6 linked regions of the Rattus norvegicus genome follow. The protein of the gene in region 1 purifies or fractionates together with the protein of each later gene. This does not show direct contact. Links are inferred from orthologs where the notes say so. Each region holds a gene or a part of one and is shown in the gene's direction. Other genes may lie near its edges.

Region 1 (3,500 bases):
AAATAAGTCGGAGTTACCAATAGGAAAGTAGACTCTAAAAGCACAGAGGGTAGATGTCTGTCCAGCTCTGGTGTTGACTAAGGCTTATCGTAAATACAAAGGGTGTGTGTGTTTTATCCAGAAACTGAATGATAAAGGTGGGGTAGAAACCCCAGATTGGGATTAAATCATTTCCTCAACACAAAGATCACAGGACATGAACCAACTGTTTGTTTATTCTTGTACTATGTGGTGGTGATGGTACTGAACTGGTTTCCCCAGCTATGAGTATGTCTTGAATTGGGAATTCCTGATTAGAAGGGTTCGATCACCCTGTTCCCTCTCATCCAGAGTCTGTATGATAATGTTAGACAGTAAAACAGATCCAAGGATGGTGGTTCTGCCAGATGGAAGGAGGATTTCAATTTGAAAGTGAGTCTTAGACAACAGAAGCAGCAGTTTCATTGCAGCTGTCTGTATTTCTTACTTTCTTTTTAAGGTCAGACAAAATGATTGCTGCAACTTTAAGTTTGATTTCCAACAGCGTCCATGCCCAGATCCAGCTTACATGGTATTCTGTTATTTGTTTTGGCTGAGTCTATGGCCTCTCCGCATACCTAAAACACAACGGTGCGTCATATTCCCGCTGTGCACCCTGAGGCAGTTAGGAACTCAAATGCCTCCCAAGTCATCAAGAAAAGATTAAATCATAGTGTGTGGGGGTTCTGTGTGGGCTGTTCTCATACTTCAAAAATACTAATTAACCTAAGCACCATGGCGTACAAACTAATACCGGAGAGCAGCCAGTGAGCGCGCTCTGCGCCATCGTAATTTTCAGTGCATCCTGTTGTTTTCCTACTCTAATCAAGATGTGTGATGGCATTTTTTTTTCCTAGTTGGAATTTGAAAAGTCCCAAGTGAAGAAGTTTGAAAAAGAACAGAAGAAGCTATCTAGTCAGCTGGAGGAGGAGCGTTCCCGCCACAAGCAGCTGTCTTCCATGCTGGTGCTTGAGTGCAAGAAGGCCACCAGCAAGGCAGCCGAGGAGGGGCAGAAGGCTGGAGAGCTGAGTCTGAAGCTGGAGAAGGAGAAGAGCCGGGCGAGTAAACTAGAGGAAGAGTTGGCAGCCGAGCGGAAGCGGGGCCTGCAGACAGAGGCCCAGGTGGAGAAGCAGTTGTCTGAGTTTGATATCGAACGGGAGCAGCTGAGAGCCAAACTGAACCGAGAGGAGAACCGGACCCGAGCCCTGAAGGAAGAGATGGAGAGCTTGAAGAAGCTTGTGAAAGACCTAGAGGCAGCCCAGCAGCACAGCAACAGCAGTGAGCAGGGCCGGGAGCCAGTGACCACATCCAGAGGCACAGCCACAGAGCCTCCCATGCGAGTGTCTGTGTTTTGCCAAACAGAGAGCATTCAGACAGAAAGAAGCCACAGCAGCATCATGACCAAGCTGACAGACACTGGGCTTCCAGGTCCCAGCAGTGCTCCTTACCCATATGCAAAAGCTAATGGCCACTGTGACCCCGAGACACAGACTACCAGGGAGCTGACCTCAGACAGCAGCACAGAAAACCAAGGGCCTCCACGGGAGAAATCGGCAGTACCGGCCCAGGAGAAACCGATGGAGAATGGTGGGTGTCCTGTAGGAACTGAGATTCCAGTCACAATGCCCAGTCATCTCCCTTCCAGTGGCAGCTCACTGTCTCCCAGCAGCACTGCCTCGTCCTCTCTGACATCATCTCCTTGCTCTTCACCAGTTCTAACCAAGCGTCTCTTGGGGTCATCAGTCAGCAGCCCAGGCTACCAGTCTTCCTACCAAGTAGGGGTCAACCAGCGTTTCCATGCAGCTCGGCACAGATTTCAGTCCCAGGCAGATCAGGATCAGCAAGCCAGTGGTCTCCAGAGCCCTCCATCCAGGGACCTGTCCCCTACCCTATTAGACAACTCTGCTGCCAAGCAGCTGGCCCGAAACACTGTCACTCAGGTGCTCTCCAGGTTCACTAACCAAGGGCCAATTAAGCCAGTCTCTCCCAACAGTTCTCCTTTTGGGACAGACTACCGAAATCTGGTCAGCACTGCCAATCCTAGAGGCGACACCAGCCATTCACCTACTCCAGGGAAGGTGTCCAGCCCTCTGAGCCCCCTTTCTCCGGGAATCAAGTCCCCAACCATCCCCAGAGCTGAGAGAGGAAACCCTCCACCAATCCCACCCAAAAAACCTGGCCTCACTCCTTCACAGTCTGTCGCCACTCCAGGGACCAAGACTCATTCCCAGGCATCCTCCTTGACCACCACAGAAGACCTTGCCAGCAGCTGCTCTCCCAGTGCCGTGGTGGCCAATGGCAAAGATGTTGAGATGCTTGTGCCCACCAGCAGCTAGTCCCCAGGAGTGAGTCTCGACACTTGACATTCCACCAGACTCGTCCAAGGCCGCAGAGTGAAGCCCTGGAGTCAGATCTGTTATTTATTTGATAGTAGCTACGGCCGTATGTGTAGTACATTCAGTGTATTTACTTTTTGTACTTTTTTAAGTAGAAACTGAGTACTTTGGGTTTCACCTCTTTGTACTAAGCTAGAGGGGGACTCAGACACCGTGCATCTCAAGTCAACAGTCACCAGCATGCTGCGATGGGAAAGCTGACTGAGGCAGGCTGTGCTCTGCTGTCAGTTTGGGAGCTAGAACTACTCAGCACTCATTTCAAAGTATGCAGAAGTGGTTTGTGCAGATTTTTATTCCAGATGAACATGTTTTAAAAGTGCCTGAAATCCACTGCCACATGAATGTGATTCTTCGGCAGAAACAAAAGACATAGCATTTCTTGCAGAAAATAAGATCCTCTGTGAATATGAATGTCAAAAACCAACACTGCTTTTAATCCTCTCTGACTGTTTAATGCCAGCTTTGTGTTCTGAAACGAGGTTTGCATAAGTACAGTGGAATCCTTCTGAAGGGCGTGAACTCCGTCAGGCTGAGCTCTGTAAAGCCCTTGAGAAACCCTCCAGAGCACTTAGCAGTTGGGGTGCTGATTTTCTCATGAAAAATCAAGTCATTCTCAGTTTCCTGCATCAGGTTTTGAACAGTGAAATCACATCTCCATTCAAAACCATCCTCAAGCATCGCCACGGGACCTTCTGGTTCTGTTGCTTTTACTTGACTAGGAAGTGACACGATGAACTCTTCATTCTGTGATCAGAAAGCAATAACTTAAAAGTCACTCTTTGTAATATTGTAAGTCAGAATTATAGAGTTTACCAAATTGTTACATTTATTCTCATGCTGCCAGCACTTCTATCTATGGAACCAAATTAACTTTTGCCCAAATGGAAGTGTACCTGTATGTGTATGATACATGCCCCTTACATGTTCACCATTCTCACACTTAAGCACATAACTGTTAGTGTGATTGTAGCTTTGGAGTTTGCAGTACAAGTAGAATCAGAATTGCATGTTAAGATTACCTACCAAAGCAGTTAGAGCCAGCCAGTCAACAGGAATCCATTAGACAGGGAAGTTTTCAATCCCAAA
Region 2 (3,500 bases), on another chromosome or scaffold:
TTTTGTGTGTATAAAAGGTATTTATTTCTAAGCTATAAACTATAAAGGATCAGTGGAGTGAGGAGGCAACTATTCACTTTCGGATGTCTTCCAAAAGTCTGTCTCTGACTCGGGTTCTAAGTGTCTCCTCTAGGCTCTTTAAACAGATAACCTTTGACTGCAGCTAAGTAGAATGAGCTACTTACTTTACACTTACGGACTTGATTAGGACTCCGTTTGGAGATGTTGACAACATACTGGGTTTACGGAAAACTGAGGCCCAACAGATCTGCAGACTGATGTCTGAATGTCCCAAGAATGAGTGGCTGCTTGGCTGGCTGCAAATTAACTGCACTAGGACCTAAGAAAAGGCTCTTTCCACCAGCTGTGTGCCCACCACAGTGATCGGAGTTAGACACTATTCAGCAGCCTGGTTTCCTAGCTGAATCTTTTGTTCTAAAAAATAAAGTATGATAGAGGCTTTAATATCACTGATAAAATTTTCAAAATGAGGGGTTGGGGATTTAGCTCAGTGGTAGAGCGCTTGCCTAGTAAGCGCAAGGCCCTGGATTCGGTCCCCAGCTCCGAAAAAAAGAAAATAAAAAGAAAAAAAATTTTTCTCAAAATGAAGTCTCAGTCAGTCTCTCTCTCTCTCTCTCTCTCTCTCTCTCTCTCTCTCTCTCTCTCACTCTCTCTCACTCTCTCGTGTGTCTGTCTATCTGTCTGTCCATCCTCAGTTTCTGGTTATTTGAAATAGCATAAGTGATGATATTTTTTTTTTTTTAATCTTAAAGGTATTTGACACAGCAGAATTCTATTTTCAAATCCAGACTTTCAGTTTTTTGATCTTGCTAAAACACATCTGAGGTCTTTTGATTTTAAAGCAGGTAGAGTACCCAAGTTATGGCCCAAACATTAAAGAAGAAATGATCTATAGTAAATCTTTAACTTTTTTCCTGTCTTACATAAAATATTTTCATGTGTGAATTTATTTTTGAAAAAATCCCTGAACTCTAATAAGAAGTTGAAATAACGTGTGCAAAACTTGCCCTCTTTAACTTGCAGAGGAAACCAAAGATGCGGAGGCTCCTCCAGCCCAAAACAGCCAGCTGACGTGGAAGCAAGGCAGACAGCTGTTAAGACAGTGAGTAATGATTTCAGCTAAGAAGGAGTTATGAAAGTGCTTACATTGAATCGACTTATACGTAGAAACATTATTTTACTGTATGACTTCATAGTGCTGCTTTTAAAAATACATTTGTATCTATGTGGGCATGGGCACAGGCATGAGCCACAGCTGCTTGTGGAGATGAGAGGGCAGCTTTCAGCATTGACTCTCTTTTCACCTTTGGGACACAGGGATTAGATCCCGGTCATCAGGCTTGGCTATAGGTCACTTTATACACTCAGCTGTTACTGAAGGATGACATTGACTTCTTTCTACTATTTTCTTGCCTCCTCTCCTCTCCTTCTCTTCTCTTGTCCTTGCCTTGCCCCGCTCTCCTCTCCTCTCCTCTCCTCTCCTCTCCTCTCCTCTCCTCTCCTCTCCTCTCCTCTCCTCTCCTATTTCTTATGTGGTAGAAAAACTGAAAAAAAAAAAAACAAAAAAAACCAAAAACTGGATGACGACTTCAACTGAAGTAGTATGGCTTATATGGAGTTGGGCTGCATTTAAAAGCATTGGCTGCTCTTGCAGACATTCCAGTTTTGATTCTTAGCATCTACATTGTGGCTCACAGACATCTGTAACTCCAGTTCCAGGGGATTCGGTGCCCTTATCTGACCTCTATTGGTCATCTTAATCTAGGTACTGTGTGCCCTGTATACTTTCATAAATGTAGGGAAAGTACCTGCAACATAAAAATAGTCATTCATGTAGTACATACACTCTCACTACGAAGTTTACACACATGTGTTTGTATGAGAGGTATAGAGAAGTATTGATATTTGAAACTCTTTAAAGATGGCTTGCCAAATCCTTTTAGTTGAAATTATTTTATTCTGCATATGAGTATCTTTTCATTTCTCCGTGTGTGTGTGTGTGTGTGTGTGTGTGTGTGTGTGTGTATAAATTTATATATCTACTCTTTAAAAGATATTTATGTATGTCTGTATAGAGGCATGTCACATGTGTATGTATCTCAAAAGCTTTTCAACACTGAGGCTCTTTTAGGTATTGAGATAATTGGTTCAATCAATGTCAGTTAGTCATACTATATGCTCCCCCCTCTCCTCCCCTCCCCTTTCTCTCTCTCTCTCTCTCTCTCTCTCTCTCTCTCTCTCTCTTTCTTTCTTTCTTTCTTTCTTTCTTTCTTTCTTTCTTTCTTTCTGCTTTTTCAAGATAGGGATCCTCTGTGTAGCCCTGGTTATCCTGGAACACCTGTAGATTAGGCTGGCCTCCATATCCTGAGTACTGGGATCAGAGGTGTGTGCCACCACACCTGCCTTAATCCATTTTTCAAAAAGATTGTTTTATGTACATGAATTTTGTCTGGATGTATGCATGCTGGGTGTCCACATAAGTCAGAGGAGGGTATAAGCTATCCTGGAATGTGAGTTATGGATGGCTGTAAACCATGTGAATAATATCCCTAGCACCCATATTTCAATTTTGACTTAAAAGTTGACATCATTAGCTGGAATTAGGCTATAATGAAGTTATTGAGACGAAGAATAATTTGTGTGATTGTGAACTTTAATATGATTTGAAGGTGGCAGATGTTGACAGTCTGTTGAGTTTTAGTGTTTAATTTTATCTTGATAGGTATCTTCAGGAAGTAGGATATACAGATACAATATTAGATGTACGATCTCAGCGGGTAAGGTCATTACTTGGACTGTCTAATTCAGAGCCAAATGGATCCATAGAAGCAAAGAATTTAGAACAGATCCTGAATGGTGGTGAATCTCCTAAACAAAAAGGACAAGAAATCAAAAGGTATGATTTGTATTTGTTGATTAACATCGTTTAACTTATGGACATCAAAATCAGTGGTACAACAGAGACTTTTCATAGAGTCTCACTTTTGCTAGCTTTTCTATAGTTGTATTTATTGTTAGATATTAAATGAATCTATGGAAGCCACTTTGTTTATTAGAGAAACTTAAATTATTAGGTTTAGGAAAATAGATTATGGTTATTACCTGTTACCTGAGTAGTTTTGAAATACTTGAAAACATTTTAACAGATTAAAGACATTTTTTTTTTTTTTTTTGCTACATAAAAAATTTATAAAATGGATTGGTACCTCTTGGGTCCCAGAATCCTAACTAGATGTGGGAAGGGAATGAAGAAATGACAGACATTGGACACATACACACAGGGAAACTGGGATGGCTTCCTGGACTCTCTGATGGAGAAGGGCAGCACCCAGGAGGCTTAGTGTGTGTGTTATGGAAAACTGAACAAGGAAGCAGGGGTTCATGTTGTGCAACTGAATCAGGATTAGCTAGTTTTGGTAAGGGACAGTCTCCACAGGGGAGCAGTCTTCAAGACGTTTCTGGGTTTGGGAGTTAGACAG
Region 3 (4,112 bases), on another chromosome or scaffold:
AGGACCTTGAGGGAGCCTGTGTTCTTGGAATACAAGGACACCTCAGAAAATAATCTCTTCCTTATCTTCTATTTCTGAACTCCTGGGGACTCACTTTGTATGCTTAACCTTGCACAGCCGAGGGGCAAAATGGGCATTCAGGAATGAGGTCTCAGGGTCCCTATGGCCCGAGGCAGAGCGATTCTGACTCTTAGACCACTTCCTATTTGTCACTAGTACATACAGTACTTCCTGGAGGCGCATGGATTCACTCCATCGGTCCTTGTTTGCTGCAGAAGAAACAGTTTAGAAGGAGGGCAGAGCTGGTGCCCAGAGTGGGCCCGCGGCCTTAGGAGCAGTAAAGCGAGGGGAGGGCTGGGTAAGAGTCCAGACCGTGGTTTCCTTCCATTGTCTTCTCTTCCTCCGTCACCCCTCCGCACCTCACTTTCCCCTTCTTGTGCGCAGCGCAGAGATGGCGGGGGCCCAGCCCTTCCTCCGTCCAGCTAAGTTTCCACACCCGGCGGCCCAGGCGAGGTTGAGTTCAGTATCCAAGGCACTGCACACAAACTGCCCTCTCTACCCTTGGGGTTTCCTCCTTGATCTGGCTGGAAACTTCGTACGGACAGCGAGGACGCTCCGCCCGAGTCTTTTGGAACAGGCCCCAGGCTAGGCCCCTCTGGGGACACCCCGAGTGCAGACTCTGGCCTCTGGAGGGCCGGGGCGGGTAAGAGGGAAGAGTAGGAGTGGGTGGTGCTCTCCGCTCCCCCGGGCTCAGCTCTGCTCCGCGCGCGAGGCCCACCCCGCGGTTCCGAAGGACCCGGCCACGCAGCACCCGGAGAGCGCCCGCTGAGCCCCGAGGACCCCGCCCGCGCGCCCGCAGGGAGGCCCCACTGCGGCCTAGGGCGCCCGGCGGCTCCTCCCCTCCCCCTCCCCCTCCCGGAAGCGCGGGGCGGGGTCCCCGGCCGGGCCGCGGGGGCGGGCGCGGGGGCCGGGCCGGGGCGGGGCGCGGCGGGTTGTGCGCGCCCACTCGGCTCCAGGCGGCCAGCGCTCGCGGGCCCAGGCCGCCCGGCTCGACCCGAGCACCGCGGCGGCGCAGCGGCGGGAGCCTAGGAGAAACAGCCGCAATCAGGAGACATTCCCGCTGTCCCCGCTGCCCGCCCCAGGCTCGGTGTATGGGGCCGCGGCCCGCCAACCTTCGCTGAGACCGTCCCCGGGGTGCGGTGGCCTCGGGCTCCAGAGCCCGCCCCGCCACCCGAGGGCTGCGCGCGGCCCCGGGCCTGCTCGCCGCGCGACTCCGCGCGTCCCGGGCCAGGAAGTGGCGGCGCCGAGAGCCATGGCCCACTCCCCGGTGCAGTCGGGCCTGCCGGGCATGCAGGTAGGCTGGGGCGTCCGGGTCGGGCTGCGGGCCGTGGCGGAAGCGGGCAACTTGGCGGTGTCAACACGCCCCCCCTCCCCCCAACGGCCGGGCCCGTTTCTCCGGGATCTTCGCCGACCGGAGCAGCCGGGATCTCGGGTGTGTGCACGTGGAGGGGCCGTGGGGTCTGCGGCCTCGGGTCGAGGTGGGGTGCAGGAGCTTTGTGCTCCCCAACTCGGACGCTCAGGCCAAGCGCTCATTCGGGGCAGGAGTCTGAACTAGTGTCCTTGGAGGCCCCGTTTGGGTGCCTGGGCCCTGTTTGGGCCTGGCACAGGGACAGCGGGATTCCAGGGTCTTCAGTCCCCAAGAGTCCCTCCCCAGAACCCCCAGACGGGAGACGGGAGCGCGGGACGGGGAGCGCGCCCCGGCTGGTCCCAGCCGGGCGGGCCGCAGGGCGGGGTGCAGGAAGGTGTAACCTCGCGTCCAAGCCTGTAGTTCTGGTGTGGAAAGTGCGAGGTTGCAAACCCGGGAGGCGGAACCCACACCTCTGCGAGTGCCCTGGCGTGCAGAGCCCAGGTTCACCCCTCGGATGCCAGGTCTCCGCTGCTAGACTTTCACTTTGAGACACGATGGCATCCAAAGCAGCTGTGTGCTAGCTTGCTTCTCCCTGCACTCTTTGTATCTTCTTAGTTCGCCAGTGACTTTTTCTTTGGAGGGGAAGGGGGCGGTGAGGGGAGGGAGTTGAATTTCAAGTTTACATGGATGCACGAACATTTTTTTTTTTTTTTTTTTTTTTTTGCTTTTGAGGATGTTTTTCTGTACTTTGAAAAACAATCACTGGTCTGTTCTTGTAAAGTTTGTGAGCGTATAATGCAGACAAAATGATTGCGATTAACACCGCAAGACCAGTCAAAGTTTTGTTTTCCCAAGTGAGTGAACGGAAGAGTTTTGCTTTAAAAAAGCAAAAAAAACAAAAAACAAAAAACAATAAAACCTCAGAATATCCGAGATGATCAGTCTACAGACGCAGCAGGCGCTTTCTCTCGGGCTCCTGGGTTGAGCGGCACGGGCCTTGCCTCTTACTGCTTCTGCTTCTTCTGAAACTATTTTCCATCCCTGTTTTCTTTCTTTCTTTTTTAATTCATACCTCGGGAAGGAAAATGGATTTCTTTGTCCAGGTTTGAACTCTGGAAGAATAGGAATTCAAAGTTACCACTTTAGTGGCCATTAGAGCTTGAGCCCTTTTTATTTTTGAGGAATAATAAAGTTGGAATTGAGTGTCACTGGAAAGGTGCTCTCAAAGTATTCTTGAAGTCTCACCTTGCGAGCCCGGTGTAAAACCTGATGCTGCTGGCCACAAGTTGAAAGTCAGCCGCGGCCTCCTACAACTCTTGCCTTGGTTCGACTTTAGAGACAAAACACCTGGGTCAACCGGGCGACAGTTTCTTACCTGTACAGCAAAAAGGACCTCTTGGCACATTAAAAGCACGTTTTTCCACGTTTTCTTCATTCATGTGTGGGAGGTCAGTACCAGGTGGTTCCTAGCTGGGGGCTGCTCTCTCATTTTGTTTGTTTGTTTTAAAGAATGGGCCAAAATTCTTCACTTTGGGAAAAGAAAAATTCAATAACTTTACCTAAAAAGTGTATTTCCTGTGTGTTCTTGAGAGGAAGCCTTTTTAATTTTGTTTTTCGGTATGGAGATGATAGCCTTTTCTCAGTATTAATTTTTTTTTTTTTTGTCTGTTCTGGTTCTGCCAAGGAGGAATACTGGCTTTTCACAGCCCAACCTGCCCCTCTCTATGTCTTCAAACCACATGATAACATTTTTAGTGCATTACTGGAGACTGTTCCTATCCTTCCCTTCCCTCCAGAAAAGAAAAACCAGTACATTTATTTTCAACTTGGAGTCAGGAGCTGCAGCCTGCCTCCCTAGGAGCTGTTTTGAGGATCACATGAGAGGCTTGCCTGGCCTTGACTCTTGTCTAGGATAAAGCTGGAGAGGAAGAGGTCTTCCCTGTTGCCCCACAAACTCCCTGCAGACTCCTGGCTAGGGTTTAGGAGGAACTGGGTTAAGTGTTTTGGCAAGTGGGGTGTGGTAGGGTCGAGGCAGGAGGATTTCTGTCAGTTCAAGGCCAGCCTGGGTTACCTTAGGGAGTTCTAGGCTAGCCAAGGTTAATCCTGTGACCCAGTCTCAGAAGAACTGGACAAAGTTCGGCAAGGCAGCAGACTCAGACAGCCCGAGGGAAATAAGTCGAATTCAGGAACTCTTTTGTATAAGGACTTTATGGCCTGCTAATCACTTTATATCTGTTGTTGATTGCTGGTCTGATGGAGGAAGAGGTTACTTATACCGTCTTGTAACTTTGTGAATGAGGAAGGGTTTGAATGGACCAAGGTAAAGTAGTGTGTAGAAAGGCATACAGTGATTAAACCCAGGTCTTCACTCTGCCTTTGCCAGTGTTAAACACCATTTTGTTTTAGGTTGTATTTGCTGAAGAAAGAAAGATAAGATGAATGTGTGTGTGTGTGTGTGTGTGTGTGTGTGTGTGTGTGTGTGTGTTTTCCCCCTCACTCAGTAGCTGTGATTGATGGGCAACTCTAGTGATCTTTGGTGAGGAGTTTCGGGCTGTACACCTGACTGTTTTGATGAGATTCGCTGGGGATTTTCTTTTCCTCTTTGGGTTTTGTAGTCTGTTGAGAGAATTAGAAAGTAAGACCTGGCCAGGTGCCTTTAGTCCCAGGAGACAGGGACAGGCAGATCTCAGAATTCGAGGGCCAG
Region 4 (3,054 bases), on another chromosome or scaffold:
CTTAATCCCGAAGTTCCTTAACATAGTCATATGTCCTTCATTTTTTTCTGTGTTTGCGCCTTAGCGTCCTACGGCTAAAGAACTTTTGAAGCATAAGTTCATCGTAAAAAATTCAAAGAAGACTTCTTATCTGACTGAGTTGATTGATCGATTTAAGAGATGGAAGGCAGAAGGCCACAGTGATGAGGAATCCGATTCTGAGGGCTCTGACTCGTATGTATAAATTACCACAGGTTTTTTCTTAAAGGCAGGTCCGTCTGCATACTCTTTGCCTTTTCACAGTGACCTGGGATGCTTACTTTAGACTAAGTGATTACTCATATTTCAAGCAGTCACTTTGGCCAATGGGAAGTTCTTTACAGTCTGTGGACTACAATGAATTTGGAAACATGCTTTAAAGGGGAAAGCTCTGCTTTTAAATGGTCTTGGTCTAACCCCTAGTGGATACTTGAGTATATTACAAAATTTTGGAATATGATTTGACTGTAGGAGTTCTAGTTCACAAGAAGCAATAAGGAACTATGTTTTCTCATATTGTGATGACAACCTGTGCGACCCTTTCGAGAACTGATCTAATGGCCTCTCCTACTTTCTGGCCATGGACCAAACTGTGATCAGCCTGAACTGTGAACTGCTACACCTATTTGCTTATGTATGGTTTTTACCCCATGGAAAAGTTTTTATGTTAATAGTTCTGCTTCTGTGCGTTTATCTTAATTTGAGTAGGAGAGTGCAAGGGCTGCACCAGGATTTCAGGAGTTCCACAAGGCAGCACTCCAGTTCTCCACACAGTGTTCTCAGGCACCTGCATCTATGAGAAACTGCCTAATATTTGAAATGAATAAAACATCTTGATAGTTTGTGCCCAATCTAAGGCTTGTTAACCATAACTTCTCGGTGAAACTTTAAAAACACAAAGCATGCCACTAGAGATCGTGGTTCAGGCATGGGGAAATGGCAGTATGGACACAGATGGCTCTCCACAGAGGGTTTGGGTGAACATGAAGAGCTGAGAAAATACTGCTGTTGTTGCGTGAAATAGTGGAACCACCCGAAACTGAGGTGACATGTTCTGTTAGAGAGCTCTTCCGAGTCTTCTTTCACTGATTCGGTGGTTTGGTTTTGGGTTTTGGGGTTTTTTTCTTAGTTTTTGTTCTTTTGTTTTTCCTGTGCTGAATCACTTATGCATCCTTGGCATTTCTTTAGGGAATCCAGCAGCAGGGAAAGTAATACCCACCCTGAATGGAGTTTCACCACTGTGCGTAAGAAGCCTGATCCAAAGAAACTGCAGAATGGGGAAGTATGTGTATGGAGCTAATCTATCTATCTATCTATCTATCTATCTATCTATCTATCTATCTATCTATCTATCTATCTACTCACTCACTTATCTATCTATTCATTTATTCACTTATTTATTTAGTGTGCAAAGTAATAATCTTCATCATATAATCTTCATAAACAGGTCATTATATTATGTTCTCATCTGATCATGACCTCCTGATAGACTTTTAAAAATAGTGTTATGGTATAGTAACGTGCAAAACTGCTACAATTTCATTCCCCTGCATACCTGTCTTCCTCGCTATATATAATCAGTTTTATTTATTATTAATTGTGACCTAATTAAGTCACAGAAGTCATCGAAATGGCCACTGTTACTTAAAATTCATTCCATGTAGAGATATGTGAACCCACGGAATCAGTTATCTGTTGCAATCCTAGACGTTTGGGGACTTACCCTGATGGATGACAGTTTGTGACAGAAAGAAAACATAGGGACCGGCTTTATCTTCTGTCTTTTGAAGGAGGAATTCAAATTGATTCACATTTGTTATCACGTAACTCAGGGAAGCCATGAAGGATTATTTTAATTTCGTATGTATAATCTGTATTCTTTCTTCAAAGGAGCAAGATCTTGTGCAAACCCTGAGCTGTTTGTCTATGATAATCACACCTGCATTTGCTGAAGTAAGTGTGGGTTATTTAGTATCCACTATCTCTCTCAGGTGGCAGGGTATTTTCAATGTTAGAGCCATCACTCTCTTTCAGCTTAAACAGCAGGATGAGAACAATGCAAGCCGAAACCAGGCAATTGAAGAACTTGAGAAAAGTATTGCTGTGGCCGAAGCTGCCTGTCCTGGCATCACAGATAAAATGGTGAAGAAACTAATCGAAAAATTTCAAAAGTAAGTTTGAAGGGTCATTTTCAAACTTCTGTTGGCATTTTAGATGTGAGTTTCTGATGTAATAAAGTCACTTTTATGTAGCCATTTCCTACGTTTTTCCTGCAAGATCATGTTTTAATAGTTGTATGCTTGAAAACAGAATTGTTTCTTGCCAAACGTAAACATCTGCTTTGAGGGGGGCGGGACAGAGAGACAGAGAGACACAGACAAAGAGAGAGTTAGTTATTTACATGGGTGAGTTATCTCCCACATGGGCCTGGGTTGAAAGGATGTCAACCTTGGAATTGTTCCTCTACTTCCTCCCACCTTATATTTTGAGGCAAGGCCTCTCATTGAACCTGAAGCCTGCCCTGTTTAATGATTCCGAGAACATTCTTCTCTGCCCTCCAGTGCTGAAGTTCTGTGGACTCAGTCACACCTGACCAGAACACTGGTGCTCGAGATCTGAATTCAGACCCTTGTGCTTGTACTTCAAGGATTTTCCCACTGAGCCATCTGCCCAACCCAGTGTTAGCTTTTGGAATGATTTTATTGAGCTATGGGAAGGTACATTTCTACTGAACCAGACAGCCCAGGTTTTGCCCTATCTTTCCATGTTAGGATGAAAAGACAGAAAATGTCACTGACTACGTTCTTATTCGAGTACATGTAACATTACAGGTTTCCACTCCTTTTTTTTAGATTTATATAAGCTGATTGTTTATTAGTTGTTATATTTCTTCAGGAAGTACCATGCACATCCGAGGAGTGATTATTAAAGAATATGAGACAGTAGGCTTCATTATCTGTAACTTTCTGGATTAATACAGGTCCCTTATTATAGAATAGTACAAACATCTATAATAATAGGTTAAAGGAAATTTGA
Region 5 (3,500 bases), on another chromosome or scaffold:
ATATCAAATAGAAAGAAAACTTACTTTAAAAAAATATTTATTTATTTATGACTATAGTGTAGCTGTCTTCAGACGCACCACAAGAGGACATCGGATCCCATTACAGATGATTGTGAGCCACCATGTGGTTGCTGGGAATTGAACTCAGGACCTCTGGAAGAGCAGTTAGTGCTCTTAACCACTCAGCCATCTCTCCATCCTCAAGAGAAAACTTACTTTTAGACTTACTATTTTCTGTATAATGATTAAGGAAAGGACAGTAGATTACTAAATCAGTATCTCTTTTACTTTTCTAGTTAGATGATGCTGTTGACAGGATGATATATGAAAAGGTAGTCTAAGATTTTTTTTTTTGCTCATGGAATTTCACTGTTTACAAAATTTCTTAACAGTAATATAAGAGAGATATAATCTCTGAAGCCTATAATTCCAGCACTTAGGAGGCCAGGGCAAGAGGATTGCCCTTGTTCTGGACCAGCCTAGGCTCAACAAACAAACAAACCCCAAGTAGACCAAGTTGACATGCACACGTTCACTCCGCAGAAGTGTAATGCAGGCAGCGAGACTAGCTCTGAACTGTTTAGCTGTGTAACTTGGACTTTGTCTCCTTCAGTGGAAGCATTGACGTTCCCGCCTTCTTCAGGGAAGTCATTTATCATGGGAGCAGATGAAGCCCTTGAAAGCGAGCTGGGGCTTGGAGAATTAGCAGGCCTTACAGTGGCCAATGAAGCAGACTCATTAGCTTATGATGTAAGTAGCAATTTTGTTTTTACACCATTTAATTTGTTTGAAAATTTAATAGTTGAGTTTATAGAAGAAGATGGCAGAGGTAAAATTTTCACAAGTATGAATCTTTGAATCTCAAACTTTGCAAAGATGGGTATAAAAATAAGCTAACATTTTCTAAATAACCTGGCGATTAAAGTTAGAGACTGCCTTCATCTGCAGTCACTCTAAAATGTGCATTGTTTGAGGCAGGCACCTGTGATGAGCCAATGTCTTTCTTCCTCATGGCCCCTGTCCTGCCCCTTGAGTACCCTGTCTAGTGTGCGCTCCCTGCACTGCCCGTTCACTGCTGCATGCTCACTTCTTGTCTCCTTACCCTCACACAGCCGTCCTCCAGATGACCTAGGCCATAATGGCTACAGGCAGATTTCCCACTGCCTACCTCTGTCTTCCCACCAAACCATGAAGACTTTACCCAGTGGCTAATGGAACTGGACTCCTAATGCAAGCTCACTTTTTTCCTTCTCAGGAAAAATTGATATTGTATCTTTACCCTATTTCCAAAGGTAGTTCTTTGTTTTATTAAATATGCCAGTAATCTGTTGCTAATCTAATCATTTTTAAAAATACAAAATGAACTCTGGCATTTTTGGAGGTTCTTTGTCTCATATATCTTTGTCAGATTTTTTTTTTTTTTGACCTCGTAGGTTCTTTGACTATATATTATGGTTTCCAGCTTTGTGGTATTTCTGTGTGTGATCATGTATGTCTCTTGTGTCCATACATGTTTCTTGTAATTTTTCTTTGGTTCTTTTTCCCTTTTTGTCCCATTTCAGTTGTTTTTGTTCTATGTTGTTATTCTTCAGATGTCTGTTTTCTCATGAGAAACAGAGAGGGAAGGATGGGGATTCAGATAGGAGGGGAAAGTGGGGAGGCCCTGGAAGAAATGGTAAAGGGGAACCGTAGTCAGAATATACTATGAAAAAAATCTCATTAAGAGTTTTAAAAGCATCATCTTCTGATCTCTCTGCACCCAGAGTCTGGGTGTAGACCTGGCTGGGGTCTTATATTGCTTCAGTCAGGATTTTGCCAGTGCCTGGGTTCTCTCTTGAAGACTTGGCTTGGAGAAGACCAGGCTCTGTCCCAGTGTTTGACCACCCTGGCTTCACTTGGCATCTAGTGTCCACACTTGAGTGCGTGTGAAAAGAGGAAATGCAGCAGGTCTGCAGCTCAGTGATGACCCTGGATTCTAAGTCTTCCTCCTCAGCTCTGGGTGCTGGAGTTGCAGGTGTGTGACGCCATTCTCAGCCACTGTTACATTTTCCATGTCCAGTTTATAAATCTTGTTTCCGTCTTGGTGAAGAAAGTATTAAGTCTCAAAAACTGTGACCATCGTTGGATTAACGAGCTGTTTTAGTTTGGGGCTGCATTGCTGAGATGGAATATACAACCTGAAGGGGCTTGGGCGACCTACAGTCGCACATCGCAGCCCATCGTTGGCTGTGGACGAACACTGGCCTGCTCACCTGCTTTCTTTAAGCACACGGCACCACCAGCCTGGAATGGCACTGCCCACAGTGAGCTGGGCTCTCTCACATCAGTCATCGATCAAGAAAATGCCTGACACTTGCCCACAGGCCAGGCTGGTGGGAGCGTTTCTTTACTGAGGTTTCCTCTTCCAAAACGACTCTAGTCATTGACATAGTTGACATAAAACTAGCTAGGACACAGGCATAAAGAGAAAAATCCTACCCCAGTTACTTTCTCTCTTACAGTTTGAATTGAGTTAGTTCTAATTATTCAGTCTCTCGGGCACTGTGACATAATAATTTTCAGTAAGTGCATGTTATTTGAGTCTCAGTCCATGTCTGTTTGGAAGTGTGGTGAGACTGTCAGAAGAAGCTACTTGCTTTATGGTGTTAGGGGAGCAGAGGAGGAGGTGGAGGGTTCTGCTGTCTCCTACTGTCTTGTCTAGGCTCCATCTGCTAAAGCCTCTCCGCTCCAGGAAGGCCACAGGCTGCTGACCAAGCCTTCAGCATCTGGGCGCTGGAGGACGTTCAGGATCCAGGCTAGCAACAGTAGGAACTGTTGGGGATTATTATTTACTGCATTTTAGACTGAATTATGTTAACTGTCTTTGATCGTTTTGTATTTCTCCCATGAAAACTGCTGCCACACGTTGCTAGTTTTGCTAATTGGCTTGGCTGTTTTCTTTAAAAGTATATTTATTATTTTGAGGATTGCACCATGTAGTAGTATAATAGCAAATCAGCGATCTCAGCCTGATCTTTTGTTTCTTAATAGATAGCGAATAACAAAGACGCCTTGAGGAAGACGTGGAACCCTAAGTTTACATTAAGGAGTCACTTTGATGGCATCCGAGCCCTTGCTTTCCACCCCATCGAGCCTGTGTTAATAACCGCGTCAGAGGACCACACGCTGAAAATGTGGAATCTGCAGAAAACAGCCCCAGCTAAAAAGTGAGAACATTCTACCTGCACTTGTTTTTCTAAGATTTTAGTTAAATTGTTTATCAACAGGAAAAGATACATTTTAAAAATAATTGTTACTTTTCCCAAATATAGGTAAATCCCTCAGACAGTCTAATGTTAGGTCTGACATTTAGGAAAGGGGTTGTTTTTACCTGATGTTTCCCAAGGGTTTGGAACTGCTGATTGCAGTCCTTACGCATAAGTGCTTCTCGTGGCTGTCTTATTGGTGCGGCCTCTTGTCTGTAATGAAGATCACAGTTACATAAAGAGATATAAGTAGGA
Region 6 (3,994 bases), on another chromosome or scaffold:
GCTCTCTTCTGAGGGTTACACCATATAGCTCTGACTGGCCTGGGTATAACTATGTAGAACAAGTTTTTGCTTCCTGAGTTTCAGAATTGAAAGCATGTGCACTTTCACACATGGTTAAGCCTTTTGTTCTTTATCACAAGACCATGTGTTTGCCATTCAGGGCCAGGGATACATGATACTCAAATATGTATCACTGATTACGAATGCCCACTCTCTGTGACAGTGGGTGTTTTTTTCTTTGTTTCCACTCTCTGTGAGGGTGTTTCCTTCTTAATTTTCTCTCTGATTGGAGAGGAAGAGGAAGTAAGGGAGGAATGCAGGTAAGGGGAAGGAGGAAGATGAAGGGAGATCGAAAAAGAAGAAAACAAAAATCAAGAATAAAAGCAGTCACGCTTTAACAACCCTGCTACGTTTTCGTATTTTCATTCTTAAGGAAAAAGGATTGTGATACTTTTATATTAGCCATATAAGAGGTTTGGCGTCCAAGCTCATTATGCGGCAGGGGTCCATCCTCAAATACTTTCGACCTGGCTCATTTCTTACTAGCTACCTAGAAACTCCCCAGCAGGATAAAGTAAGAGGTCGCCTTGGCTGCTCTATTTCTTCAGGGTAAGAGGGGACTTTAACAAAGCCTTTAACACCACCAGCCCTTGAACGCCACCAGCCCCAGGGCCGCGTTCTAGAAACTGAGCAAGGCAAATCTCCCTACTTAGGAGTTCCTTCTTTAGAGACCGATATAACAGCCGCAGAAGCACAACCAGACCAGCCTGTTCTTCATTACGTCACGCACAGTTCCCAAGGCTCGGGTTTGAGTCTTCGAGTCTCCCCAAGAGATCATCATCGCCACCTCCCATTCTCGACTCTCATTGGCAGCTAGACCTGCTTGTTCCCGTGGTTGCCAGCAGCGACGCAGGCGGGCACAATTCTGGTCACTAAGATACTTAACTTCCGCTTCCGCTCGTCCTTCGGAAAAACATCTGATTCATCCGGCCAATGGTGAATGAGAAGTAGGCGGGACTTGGTTGGTTCAGACCAAACAGACGCGAGCTTGTGCGGCAATGGCGGCGGGACAGCCCCTGTAGCGCGGCTCGGGCGCCCCCACGTCCGCTTTGCGTCCTTTCCCCGCACCGCCCCTCCCGAGCCCGGATTCCGCCCGGAGCTCGCTGCTGCCTGATAGAAACGCCAGGGAGTCAAGATGGCAGCTGCCGACGGCGACGATTCGCTCTACCCCATTGCGGTGCTCATAGATGAACTGCGCAATGAGGACGTTCAGGTGCGGGGATCCTTCCGTTAGAGTGTGTGGGGGAGATCGGGGACGGGGATCTTCGCGGAATGTGGGAGCGATGGCTCAGGGTTCTCCGGGAGTGGCGGAAAGCAGCGGCGGCCAATCAGAATTCAGGTCTCATCTTTCTTGATGGCAAGGTTCGATGAGATGGCAGCCTTCATTGGGTGCCCAGCCAAGCGGAGGGCAAGCCTCGAGGGTCCCACCTGAGTGCGCGCGGCAGCCCCGGATCTGGGCCTGGGCGGCCCGAGATTGGGTGGCGGTCTTGCTGCCGCCTTCCAGTCGGTGATTGGCGGCCGACACAGAATGGCTCTCTGTAGGGAATCGGCGGGGGCGCGTGACCTGCTGAGTAGGGGAAGCCCTCAGGGGTCCTGGCGACCTGGGTGGAGTTACCATCGCTTTTAGTGTTTTTGTTTATTTTAACTGGAACGAGTGGGGATTGATAACTGGGACTTCTATCCGTTCTTCACGGACCTCCGCCTTGCATTTTGTGGTATCTCTCCTGAAGGAGGAAGGAGACTGTGAAAGTATGCTCTCCAGAGATTTAACCTAGCCTTATCTGGGATAGGTCACGTGTACACACCCACCTGTTCTCCAACTTTGTCCCAGGCCTGTCTGCCAAGCGAGTTGATAGTTCTGGTTCACGGGAAAAAAATGAGCCAGGACCCCTGAGTTTGCTTTGGTTTTGAAAAAGAGGTCAGACCTCAAGGCCGCATCCTTTCACCTGAGGATGACCTTGTGTGCACATTATTTCATCCCCCCTGGCTTCTGTTTTCTACAAATACCAGCTAATAATAGCCCTGGCTTCCCTGGGTGGCTGAGGAAAAGTAGTAAAATAAAACTGGCTGTTTGTAAAGGCTCTATAAATGTTAGCTATTATTTTGGGGGTGTGGCTATTGTGGCACTACGGCCTTCTACTTTTCCTTTTATATAGAATTGTTCATGCTGCACTTGGTCAATTTCCTGAGCCTGGCCTATCTAAGTTTTATGTATTTATGTCTGACTCTGGTTCCATTATCAGCCAGGCTGGATTTGTACTCCTGGGTCTTGCACTTTTTGCTAATTGATTCAGGCAGTCTGTATTTCTCTTCTATTAAGTGAGAATAATCTGGTTTTGAGCATACTGTATGAATTTATGTGTGTGTGCTCTGTAAACACATGCAAAGGATGAGGGATGTTGTTGGGGTCATAAAGGAGACCAGAACCTGGTATAGTGGTGCATGCTAGCAATCACAGCACTCTGGAGGCAAAAGCAGTGTCAAGGCTAGCCTAGTCTACATAGTGACACTGTATCAACAAAGAAAAAGGCTGGTTGCTATACAAAGGCTAGGTGTGAAACAGGCAAACAGAACTAAATCTGCATATTACCACATGTAAGAAACCAGATCTGTCAATGTTGAAATAGTGAATCAGCAAATGTTTGTTGGACATCAGAGTGTCTCTAGATGTTGACAGCTGGGAGCAAAAGGACAAAACTTGCCTTAAGGGATTTTAGTGAGTAGTGACAGATAAATAGGTATTATGTTGACTATGGAAAATATTAAGAAGAAAATAAGAAATATAGGGTACAATATTAAAGTAAGCATGGGAAAGTCTTGTAGAAATTTGAAATAGTACCTGCTTTTGGAAGGAGCCATTAGGTTCTGGGTAGAGTGTGTATACTAGACAGATGAGTAAGGAATTAAGCCAGTCAAGGGAAGCTCCTTTCAGGATGGAAAGTTTAAAAATTTGGAGAAGATAATTCCAGAAGGAGGGTATGTCTCTCTCTCTCTCTGTGTGTGTGTGTGTGTGTGTGTGTGTGTGTGTGTGTGTGTGTGAATGTATGCAATGGCTATAGTTATAGTTTTTTGCCTCCAAGGATGTTTAGTAATGTCTAGGGGATGGTTTGGTTGTCACAGCTGGAGATTGTTACTGCTTTTAGTAGGTTGAAGTCATGAATGCTGTTAAACATGATTGCAGTATATAAGACATCCTTCATAGGAAACAAAAAAAGTCCCTCTTTTAAAAAAAAAAATTTTTTTTAGTGCTAAGGTTGAAGGAAGCTGTTGGATGAAATGTTCACCCAGAGACAATAAGGAACTTGTTTAGCTAGGTCAGCTGGCCAGTTTTGTCAGAATTCTGTAACAAGTCACTATAAAGTAAATATAAAACAACATAAAGTTTTATTATGTGTTTCCAGAGATCAGAAGTCTGTCAGAGATCTTGCTGGGTGAAGGTGACCTCATGACAGCATAGCCTTGAAATAGGCAATAGGGCTACGCAGCTTTCTGCCACTTTACTCAAACATTCAGAGTGCCATCTTCCTGAAGAAAACAATGCACGTTGTGAACAAAATCAAAACTAGAGTGAGAGAACTGTCCACAAATGGACAGTTTTCCAGCAGCATCCTCACCTGTTAATATTGTTTTTCTAGAAGACCTCAGAGCCTTGTGGGAATAACCAACCCGAGCATACGGGGAACAATCTGTAGATGATACATGCTACTATGACTGGCATGAAGATTATGAATGGGATGGTAGTTTCTCCCTGATACCATCTACTGTCCTTAGGGCTGCTGCTTACTACTCACCAGTTGTCACCCTGGCCCATTATTTCCCACAGTGCAGCTAGGAGAGGAGCACAAGCATGTTAAAAAAAAAAAAAATTGAGGCAAGGATGTTGAAAAACTAGTTTACAAGTCATCAAAATATAGCCGTAGTACCATATCCATCT

The links.
Region 2: the proteins of Cttnbp2nl (region 1) and Strn3 purify together in Homo sapiens (affinity purification with mass spectrometry; 4 studies listed by BioGRID and IntAct, with this or other methods). This does not show direct contact. The link is inferred for Rattus norvegicus from reciprocal best matches to the Homo sapiens genes CTTNBP2NL and STRN3.
Region 3: the proteins of Cttnbp2nl (region 1) and Stk24 purify together in Homo sapiens (affinity purification with mass spectrometry; 3 studies listed by BioGRID and IntAct, with this or other methods). This does not show direct contact. The link is inferred for Rattus norvegicus from reciprocal best matches to the Homo sapiens genes CTTNBP2NL and STK24.
Region 4: the proteins of Cttnbp2nl (region 1) and Stk26 purify together in Homo sapiens (affinity purification with mass spectrometry; 4 studies listed by BioGRID and IntAct, with this or other methods). This does not show direct contact. The link is inferred for Rattus norvegicus from reciprocal best matches to the Homo sapiens genes CTTNBP2NL and STK26.
Region 5: the proteins of Cttnbp2nl (region 1) and Strn purify together in Homo sapiens (affinity purification with mass spectrometry; 5 studies listed by BioGRID and IntAct, with this or other methods). This does not show direct contact. The link is inferred for Rattus norvegicus from reciprocal best matches to the Homo sapiens genes CTTNBP2NL and STRN.
Region 6: the proteins of Cttnbp2nl (region 1) and Ppp2r1a purify together in Homo sapiens (affinity purification with mass spectrometry; 6 studies listed by BioGRID and IntAct, with this or other methods). This does not show direct contact. The link is inferred for Rattus norvegicus from reciprocal best matches to the Homo sapiens genes CTTNBP2NL and PPP2R1A.

Annotation. Positions count from the first base shown.
Region 1 is NC_086020.1:195,197,904-195,201,403, reverse strand, and holds part of Cttnbp2nl (CTTNBP2 N-terminal-like protein), read left to right. Parts: intron 1-875; coding exon 876-2,354; 3' UTR 2,355-3,500. UniProt on the Homo sapiens protein: Regulates lamellipodial actin dynamics in a CTTN-dependent manner. Associates with core striatin-interacting phosphatase and kinase (STRIPAK) complex to form CTTNBP2NL-STRIPAK complexes.
Region 2 is NC_086024.1:74,827,974-74,831,473, reverse strand, and holds part of Strn3 (striatin-3), read left to right. Parts: intron 1-1,044; coding exon 1,045-1,123; intron 1,124-2,743; coding exon 2,744-2,917; intron 2,918-3,500. UniProt on the Homo sapiens protein: Calmodulin-binding scaffolding protein which is the center of the striatin-interacting phosphatase and kinase (STRIPAK) complexes.
Region 3 is NC_086033.1:104,862,977-104,867,088, reverse strand, and holds the start of Stk24 (serine/threonine-protein kinase 24), read left to right. Parts: upstream 1-1,312; coding exon 1,313-1,354; intron 1,355-4,112. UniProt on the Homo sapiens protein: Serine/threonine-protein kinase that acts on both serine and threonine residues and promotes apoptosis in response to stress stimuli and caspase activation.
Region 4 is NC_086039.1:135,254,386-135,257,439, forward strand, and holds part of Stk26 (serine/threonine-protein kinase 26), read left to right. Parts: intron 1-64; coding exon 65-213; intron 214-1,206; coding exon 1,207-1,300; intron 1,301-1,908; coding exon 1,909-1,971; intron 1,972-2,052; coding exon 2,053-2,189; intron 2,190-3,054. UniProt on the Homo sapiens protein: Serine/threonine-protein kinase that acts as a mediator of cell growth. Modulates apoptosis. In association with STK24 negatively regulates Golgi reorientation in polarized cell migration upon RHO activation.
Region 5 is NC_086024.1:22,157,009-22,160,508, forward strand, and holds part of Strn (striatin), read left to right. Parts: intron 1-613; coding exon 614-750; intron 751-3,030; coding exon 3,031-3,206; intron 3,207-3,500. UniProt on the Homo sapiens protein: Calmodulin-binding scaffolding protein which is the center of the striatin-interacting phosphatase and kinase (STRIPAK) complexes.
Region 6 is NC_086019.1:69,212,004-69,215,997, forward strand, and holds the start of Ppp2r1a (serine/threonine-protein phosphatase 2A 65 kDa regulatory subunit A alpha isoform), read left to right. Parts: upstream 1-1,194; 5' UTR 1,195-1,195; coding exon 1,196-1,273; intron 1,274-3,994. UniProt on the Homo sapiens protein: The PR65 subunit of protein phosphatase 2A serves as a scaffolding molecule to coordinate the assembly of the catalytic subunit and a variable regulatory B subunit.